2 linked regions of the Drosophila melanogaster genome follow. The protein of the gene in region 1 interacts with the protein of each later gene in a pairwise test. Each region holds a gene or a part of one and is shown on either strand. Other genes may lie near its edges.

What was found.
Region 2: the proteins of Ctps (region 1) and CG3528 interact in a two-hybrid assay, tested with the Drosophila melanogaster proteins (one large-scale study listed by BioGRID).

Annotation. Positions count from the first base shown.
Region 1 is NT_037436.4:15,096,140-15,101,213, reverse strand, and holds the start of Ctps (CTP synthase), read right to left. Parts: upstream 3,301-5,074; 5' UTR 2,864-3,300; coding exon 2,698-2,863; intron 2,681-2,697; exon of another isoform or gene 2,427-2,680; intron 2,371-2,426; exon of another isoform or gene 2,349-2,370; intron 1,954-2,348; exon of another isoform or gene 1,712-1,953; intron 1,161-1,711; exon of another isoform or gene 574-1,160; intron 228-573; exon of another isoform or gene 1-227. Other genes in the region: GlyRS (Glycyl-tRNA synthetase), read right to left, coding at 3,655-5,074. UniProt on the Drosophila melanogaster protein: Catalyzes the ATP-dependent amination of UTP to CTP with either L-glutamine or ammonia as the source of nitrogen. Constitutes the rate-limiting enzyme in the synthesis of cytosine nucleotides.
Region 2 is NT_033779.5:2,516,408-2,520,040, forward strand, and holds CG3528 (uncharacterized protein), read right to left. Parts: upstream 1,631-3,633; 5' UTR 1,550-1,630; coding exon 1,244-1,549; intron 1,191-1,243; coding exon 789-1,190; 3' UTR 695-788; downstream 1-694.

The sequences.
Region 1 (5,074 bases):
ACAAATGAGCAGAATTGCATTTTGTGCATTTCGACCCGCAAAAAGTGTAAGCTGGGCACAAAAATGCAAATGACAGGCGGCAGACAGTAATCCCCTATGGATGAATGGGCTAGCGGGGGCGGTGGTGGTTGGTGCGTTGCGCGAGGGAGATGAACTGGCCGCCCATTTCATTCATCGAAGTTGCTAGGGCCCATATACACCAATCAAAGTGAGTCATAATTGATAAGGTGAGTAGAAATACTTTTAACTTAAATAATTTCATTTCAAGGGGTATTAAACCAAAAAAAAAAACCTTAATAACCTTTTTTAACTATATGTTCAGCAACTGTGTAGATATACGCTTTTATATTAATTAAAGTGTAAATATTAACCTAACCTAATAAACCGTCCAACTAAGAGTACTTTGTTACATGTTCAAGTATCTAAGTTTTATTCAAGCATTTCAATTATGAACGAATACTTCTAGTTATTTTATGTTTGGCTAGAAAATCATATTAACAGTATCCGTTTGGTTCACGCATAAACTAACCACAATAAAATGTATTAATGCATTCCCACCTCAATCCTTTGCAGATTTGGAGTTGTTTCGTCGGATGCCAAGCATACCATGTACTACTGCTAGGTGACCGATGTGGACAAGGCAATAGGTGGCGGCGGCGTGGACGACGAGATCATCGAGGTGGTGAAGCTGTCCCTGGAGAAGGCCAAGCGGATGATCCAACAGGCAGCCGTCAACAAAAGCCCGCCCAGCTTGTTTGATGTGCCCGATGCGTAGGCCTAGAGGCGAACGTTGTGTTATAACACTCAACACTAACCAATACGAATGCTTTCCAGCTGACCCGCATTGTGAGGGCGCCTAGCGTACACGATATAATATTGAAATTCCCGTGCCCGTCGAGGCTTAGCTTATGATATGTATACCGTGTAATATATAATGCACCCTGGCCAGATGTCCGCTTATGAATTCGGTCAGACGTGTCATCTCAGCTGCGAGTTCCACTCCCACCGCGGCTGCCAAGTGCATAAGTCGCCTATAAATCAAAATGCCGCAAAACGGGTTCCTCTTTTCTCCGATCAAAACCCATCCGATCCGATTCGATGTGATGGGACCTGGTACTGTGGAGGACCAATACCCATACGTACCCATCTCATCCTATCCGAAGCCCCTGTCGGGCAGATCATTAAATGATCATTAAATATATTATAAAATCCATTTTTGTGATAGAACGTTGTCTACCGACATTTTTTTTTGCTTTCGCTTTAAGTTACTACATAAATACATATGTATTTAATCGCACGCGCAGAGCGGCCAAGCAAATCCTGCAGGTCAACGCTGCGGCACATGTCGCACACACATACGCACAGTGGTAGGCGCCCACCACCCAAACACACTCGCACACACACGCATGCAAATAAACGCATAGTAATTGCATTGGCACGTTGTATAAATAAATTTGCAAGTGTGTGTCGCTGCTGCCGTTTATTTATTAAACGTTGTTGTTATTGTAGCTATCATCAACTTGCCAGGGGAAGTACAGAGTGAGTAAAACGGATCAGTGAGAAAGTGCAAGAGAGTACAATCAATTTCGTATTGTAAATAAAAAGAGAGAGATAAAATAAATTTCCCAACTCACACGGTATCATTAAATGTAAGTAAGGAACAATAAGTTCTATTTGTCAGTTATAATTGAGCCGCCAGTGGGTTCGGATCAGTTTCAATTTATTAGAAGTGCGCCTGTGTGAAAAGTTTCCCTTCTCCACTAACAGAGGCAAAAAAGGAAAGCAAAACAAAAATAAGAAAATAACCAGCAAGGCAGAGCAAGTGAAACGGACAGAAAAAACTTTCATTTTCAATGTCAAGCAACAATAAAAACGTCTGCCGGTTGGGGGAGGCAATTTTGTGATGAGAGAGCCAAAAACAAAGAGCGGGATTAAGAAAGAGAAAGGAAGAAGGTGAGAGAGATCTAACTTTCATTGTACAAGAGCATGAGCATTGGTAGCAATTGCTTGCTATCTCTGTTGCCAGCAGAAAAAGCGTTAATTTCTTTTCGATTTCCGACTCAAAGATTCAAGAACACGTGCAATTGTTGCTGGTTATCAGAGAGCGAGAGAAATAGAGAGCATGAAAAACAGCTGACGACTGCCTTTCTATGCATCTCTGTTACACATCCTCTTGTTTATTTACACTGAGAAAAACAGTTTTACCATTTACTTTAAATGCGATTTTGATACCATCTCATTCTTTTTATAAGCACCCTGTATTAAATCAAATTAAACAAATCGTAAAATTTAGTTTCACTTTACATTTATTATTGAATAATTATTATTATATATTATTGTCTTTATAGATTTGAAAAGTTTTCCCATATCGTAAGTGATGTATTGTTACTTTATTTATTTGTTATTAAACGTTTGTTTTTGCTCAGATTATTTATTTTGGCGGGAGAGCGCCACACCGCTCTCTCCTTTTCCGTCACCTCACACCATGTGGTTATAACCAGACGCGTGGCTTTACAACAACAATAGTCTTACAACAATAGATGCACATACTGACACTCGCCGCACACTTACACTCGCACAGATGGGCAAAATATTGAAAAATTGCCAAAATAAGAGACCAGACATTTTTCGAATGTCGAAAGCAAGACATACTATAGACACCATATAAAATAATGGGAAGACCTCTTGAAAACTCACCATGCTCATAAGGCGAAAAGGTTCCAGCATCTATATTGATATAGGGGTCAATCTTGATCGAGGTTACATCCAGACCACAGGATTTCAAAAGCGTTCCGAACGAGGAGGCAATCACTCCTTTTCCCACGCCACTAATGACGCCACCAGTTACCAGGATGTATTTCATCCTTTCGTCTCGAATGTCAATCTTTGGGATCACCAAATGTGGAGGATTATCGTGTTATCGGTTCAATTCGCGGTGGACACTCAATCTGAGGCAATCCGAGCCACAATTTATTGTTTATTTGCCTTTGCTGCACGTGGTTTTAGAAATTGGATTCGTTTAATATCTCATACGTATTTATGGTATGACCACCGCTCATTTCATTGAGAATACCAGTGACTCACCGTGTGTTGTTAAACGTCACAAAAACCGCGCGGTTTCCTATGCATTAAAATTGAGTTCCCGCAAAAATAAACAAGAATCAAATGTAATTTTAGCATAGCAGTGAGGACTGGTTACATATTTATTTGGAAACTTGCGATTTAAATCTAAAGAAAAAATGGCCTATAATTCGTATTACTTTCCCTTGTTTATATTTTTACTCTTTGTGTATAGTTTGCGTTTTTAAAAGGAATTTCACGTTTTATATTACCAATTTTAAGTGTAAATAAATCATAATATCCGGTAAATTTGAATTGTCATAGATCCAAACAACTTTAAATGTGCATATTTAAAATTATATTAAATAATTTAAAAAGAAATTTCACCGAGAAAAAATATTTTTTGAAAATAAACATCAAATTCATATTGAAGATAAACACACTCCCATTTCAAAGCGCAAAGCATTAAATGTTGCATATTTATTGAATTTTATAAGAAATTATTGAATTATTGAATTTTATTTATACAAAAATAAGAAAACTTTGAAACTCTGTAAATGCGTGCCAAGCGAAAGAAACTCCTTGATCAACCAGTTACTTGCTGGCCTCCTGCTGTTCGAACAGAGGATACTGTTCGGTGACACTCTCCCAGGTGGTTCTCGCCGTCGACAAGTCCTTGACGACGCCCACAACCTCCTCCAGACCGACGCGCACCTGTTTCATAGTATTCCGATCTCGCAGAGTCACCGTATGCGGTTCCTTTAGAGTGTCGAAGTCCACGGTGATGCCATAGGGTATGGCAATCTCATCCGTGCGGGCATACCGCCTGCCAATGGATCCACTGGAGTCGTCCACCTTGTGCGAAAGTTCCGCCTTGGTCAGGGCAGAAGACAGTTTCTGAGTATAAGGTTGAAAGTCGGTGTTGTTGGACAGCGGAAGGATGGAGCACTTGATGGGCGCCACCAGAGGCGGTAGCGTAAAGTAGCACCGCTGCTCGTCGCCGTCGCGGCATTGGAAACTGTGCTCCAACAGGGAGTACATGATGCGACCAATGCCGAATGAAGGCTCAACCACACTCGGGATGAACTCCTCCACATGGACCGTTTTCGTAGAGTGCTTAACGCTGATGGTGTCCTTTCCGAGATCGTGGCTTTGGCCATCGGCCGTGGTCAGTTTGTATTGACCATCGCCAGCCAGCTGTTCCTCTACCTTGGTTATCTCCTCCAGCGAAAGCTTAGCCAACGCATCCGTGATGTTCTTTGCCTCCTTCTTGAAGGTCTTTCCGAGAGCCTGCTTGTTTGGCACAATCTCGCTGACCTCGACCGTTTTGGGAGCCGGCAGACGCTTCTCGGCCACCAAACGCACACCTGTGGCGGCCGTATGCTGTCCCAAATCGTAGGCACTGCGATCCGCACATCCTACGCACTCCACCCATCCGTAGGAGGTAAGAATTTCGGCATCCCAGCAATCGCATGCATAGTGAGCCATCTCATTGGACATGTGCTGCCGGAATCGCAAGCACTCCGGTTTGATACCAATGGCCAACAGGAACTGCTGAATGCGGGCCATATAGTAACCAAGTGTCTCATTAGCCACCAGTTTGGATGCCACTGCTTCGCCGATTTGCACCTGAGCGGCAGACTTTCCATCCATCTGGTTGCACGCCGAGTAAAGGGTCAACTTTTCCGATTTGATGTTGCCAAATTTGGGATGGTCCTTGAGCACGGGATCACAGAAATGTTCAATCTCTGCCATGGTGAACTCTCGCACACGGATCAATCCCGATCGGGGTGAGATTTCATTGCGGAAGGAGTTGCCAATTTGAGCCACAGCGAAGGGAAGCTTGCCTTGATTGAATTCCAGCAGTCGCTTGAAGTTGACGAAGATACCCTGGGCAGTTTCGGGCCGCAGGAATCCCTTGACCAAGCCAGTGGGTCCAATTTGGGTGGCAAACATCAGGTTGAACTCAATCGGTTCTGTTAAATCATTGCCGGTTAATGGAGATTTGATGTTG
Region 2 (3,633 bases), on another chromosome or scaffold:
GGGCAAATGCAGCTGAGGCTGCAGCACTTAATGTTTATTTTAATTGAATTGTTTCTGGGCGAACTTAGCCATGGCCCAGTGGAGACTAAAAGTTGTAAATTAGCAGCTAATTGTATATGCAAATTAAATTGCACTGCCTCTGCATGTGGCACTTAAATCATAATTTAGGCGTATTTAATATTTATTTGAATTTGCTTCTCCAAAAACATGGTATCTGGGCAACAGAGTGGATTTAATTGTATTCATATAATTTTTATTAAGACTGACTACTAATATTTTCAACTCATTAACCACCAATGTGTAAGCCGTAGCAAATTCTCCTTTCAGCCTTGTGTAAATTTTGGCCAAGTTGATTTGCATGAGTGGAAAGGCCAATTAAACAGACACACTGTTGGGAGAATTAACAAAGCGTCATAAGCTGACCCACACAAGCAAGTTGGCAAACAATGGCAAATGCGCAAACAGAAACATATTGGTCAAGTTGAAGGCTCAACCACGCCCCCATTCCGCCGGGCGACAGTTAATAGATTTATGCAATTGATGTTCCCTGACTGCGATAAACTCAACAAAGTGGCATAAAGCTCGGGTAATTTCCGCCGCCTGATGGACGGAGGACTCGCCGGGCGGAAGGACCTCGAAACGTCCATCAAAAACTGCGACCAGAACTGTACTGATAAGATATGAAAAGCAATTTACGTTAGCTGTCAGCGACAAATGCGCCCTCGTTTCGATTTATTTGCACATTTCATTTAACGACGATTACGTTCATTGACACTTTAAAGCCGTCGCTAATTAATGCGCCTGATTATGTGGTCGAAGAATATGACATATCCATAAATGGGCGAGAAATACGTTTTGCGGCTGACATTTTTCGAGTGCTCGCAATCGCAGGAGGCGTTCACACAGAATATTTTGTGATCGCCAACATGCTTTAGCAGCAGACTGTGGGGCCTCTTGTTCAACACCCGGAAATTGTCGCTGTTGTTGAAGGACACACGATTCTGGTGCCAGTCGAAGTAGCTGAGATGCAGATTCGATGGCCTCAGCTTCGTTCTGCCCTCGAAAATGGCCCGCCAGTCTACGCAGCTTGTAGAGTTCTCGAATCGCGACTCGCGCAGACTCTGCTCCAGGTCCAGAAAGCTGGAGATCTCTAGACCCTTCTTCGAACGCATCACCAGGTAGACGACGGTCTAAAAATTACAAAATGTACACATTTCACTACACATAAATGTAACCTTCTAACCGAAATTTGCTTTTCGAGCAGCTTCTTCTCTCGATTGGCAAACTGTTGGAGCACCTCATCTTTGTTGTTCAAGTAGTCTCCAAAAAGTTGGAGTCCTCGTAGTCCCCTTGGCTTTAGAAGCACCAACTCTTTCTCCTTCCGCTGGTAGAATTGCTCGCGGGTGAGCAGATTACCCAGGCAATTCTTACCGCAGGCATTCTGGATCAGGTTCCTCTGGATCTCTTTGTTGCCCAAATAGCGAGTGTCCTGGATGGTTATGAAGCTGTCTACATAGTCCTGGTAATGATTAAAGTTAATCAGATTCATTCCGCGCGAAACTCAAAAAACTAAAACTGAAAAGCTGCTGAATGGCAAGAAAACTGTGATTTCGTGTAAATCAAAATGTATAATATTTTGAATAAGTTCGAGCAAAATACATTACTGACAACAAACTGCCAACTTTGGCTCAAAAGGCAAAACTTTTGCTGGGCCTGAAGAAGCAGAGTTGTTCTCATATTCAATTTCGAATGAAAGTAGCTGAGCACAAAAAATATTCCTTCTAATTTTCGAAACTCGTGAAAAAGTCTTATCTTAATTGAAATTTGTTTGAGAAACTGATAGCCGGAATGGTTTGTAACAATTTGTAACAGCTTTAATTTCATGTGCGCACAAATAATTAAACATTTCCCACATAGAGTTCCCTTGGCAGAATCCGCTGCGCTGTTCGTGTGGCAAATTTAATAAATGGAAAAAGTTTCACAATGCCCAAGCCCCGACTGTGCCCTTGTCCCTTTTAGCCCAGAACTGTGAGTATTTTCAATTACACTTCCCTATGTGCCACGCCCTCTCCCGCCGCCCATCAGGGGCATTTCGCATATTAAACTAATTACTTCATCAACATTTTAAACTGCCAGCCAGCCAAAGGGAAAATTTGCATTTTCAGCCTGTGCGTATGCAGCGCTCTTTGTCCTTTTCCGCCTGATATCCCGTTGAGCGCACACTGTCGAGGATTAGCAGTCTAACAAGTGACACCTAGTGTTCCGCACATCGCCCTATGAATCCCAAGGACTTTCAGATCAGATCAGATTTACACATAAACGGTAACCAGTTGATGAACTTGCAACGAATAGTTTATAGTCAACTAAAAAATGTACCCAAGTCTATGAAATTGTACAGGATACTGTAACCTGCCTTAAAAATAAATCACTTTCAAAGTTCCTTTCGCCATTTGAGATTAATCACCAGGTAAACCAATTAAAACAATGCCAACAGCCGCTGCTAATCAGCCATAATTTATATATCAAATAGGGTGTGTAAGATGTCCTGCACTTCCTGGCAGATTTCCAGCTCGCTTTTCAATTTCCACACACAATACGCAGCTAGATTTTCCCCTTGCCTGCGTGAAGGTGTGTGTCTGTGTGAATTTACGCTATTTAGACACGCTTTCCCACTGTTTGCAGTTGTTGCTGTCGTCGCTGCAGCAATTAACATGCAGCCGCTGCCGACACTTGGAGCTCAGTGCTCCTCCACGTGCAGATCCCCCTCCATAGTTTTCCTCTGCATTTTCCCAAGCCTTCTCACAATTTCCCTTCCCTCCCCCCTCTCCATCACTTTGGGGCAACAACTGCTGTTCCGTTTTGCATGCTTTGTCACCATCTTGCCGCTTGCCGCCGTCTTGAGCGCGTAAATTGCTACTTCGTGGGCCAATCCTCCTGCTCCCCGCTGAAGTCACGACATACCCACTTCCCGCCAGTCTACTGGCAGGACCTACAGGACCGCCAGGACTGCCAGGACTCGCATTTCGCCCGCTGCGTCTTGGCCGTGGCCATTGTTTGACTTGGTCATTAGTAAATGTACTTTGTCGCAGCATAAAAAGGAGTTAAGTGCGCACTCTAAGGATTTATGTGCATTACCAAAGAATGAGGCGGCAATGCTCAATGCTGCCTCGGGAAAGTCGAGGCTGCTTTTGCCATGTGTTAAGTGCACATTTCTGATGAATGAGTCGGCTGGCTGCAACTGCATTTCAATTGCAGAAAGTGCTGAATGGACTGAGGGCTGGAATTTATAGTTGAGCAGTTGCCGTCATTATCGCACAGGGCATGCCAATCATCCACTTGAGCAGTTGCATAGATTGAAGTTATCAGAGAACTTCTAGATATGTAAATCATATTTTTTCAAGCATTCATACATTTCGAGCATGACAATGGACATGATTGCCGAAAAGCGTAGAAAAGCATACTGCTTGCATGTGCAAGTCAACCAGGAAGGGGTTTTTATAATTCCTATTTTGATTTCATTTTGCAGACCCCTAACTACGAAACTCCCAGATTTTCTGTGTAATCCCATCGCCACTCTGGAGTGCAATTTCCTTATTATAATGACGCTTGGCAGTGGTAGTAGTGCCACATGTC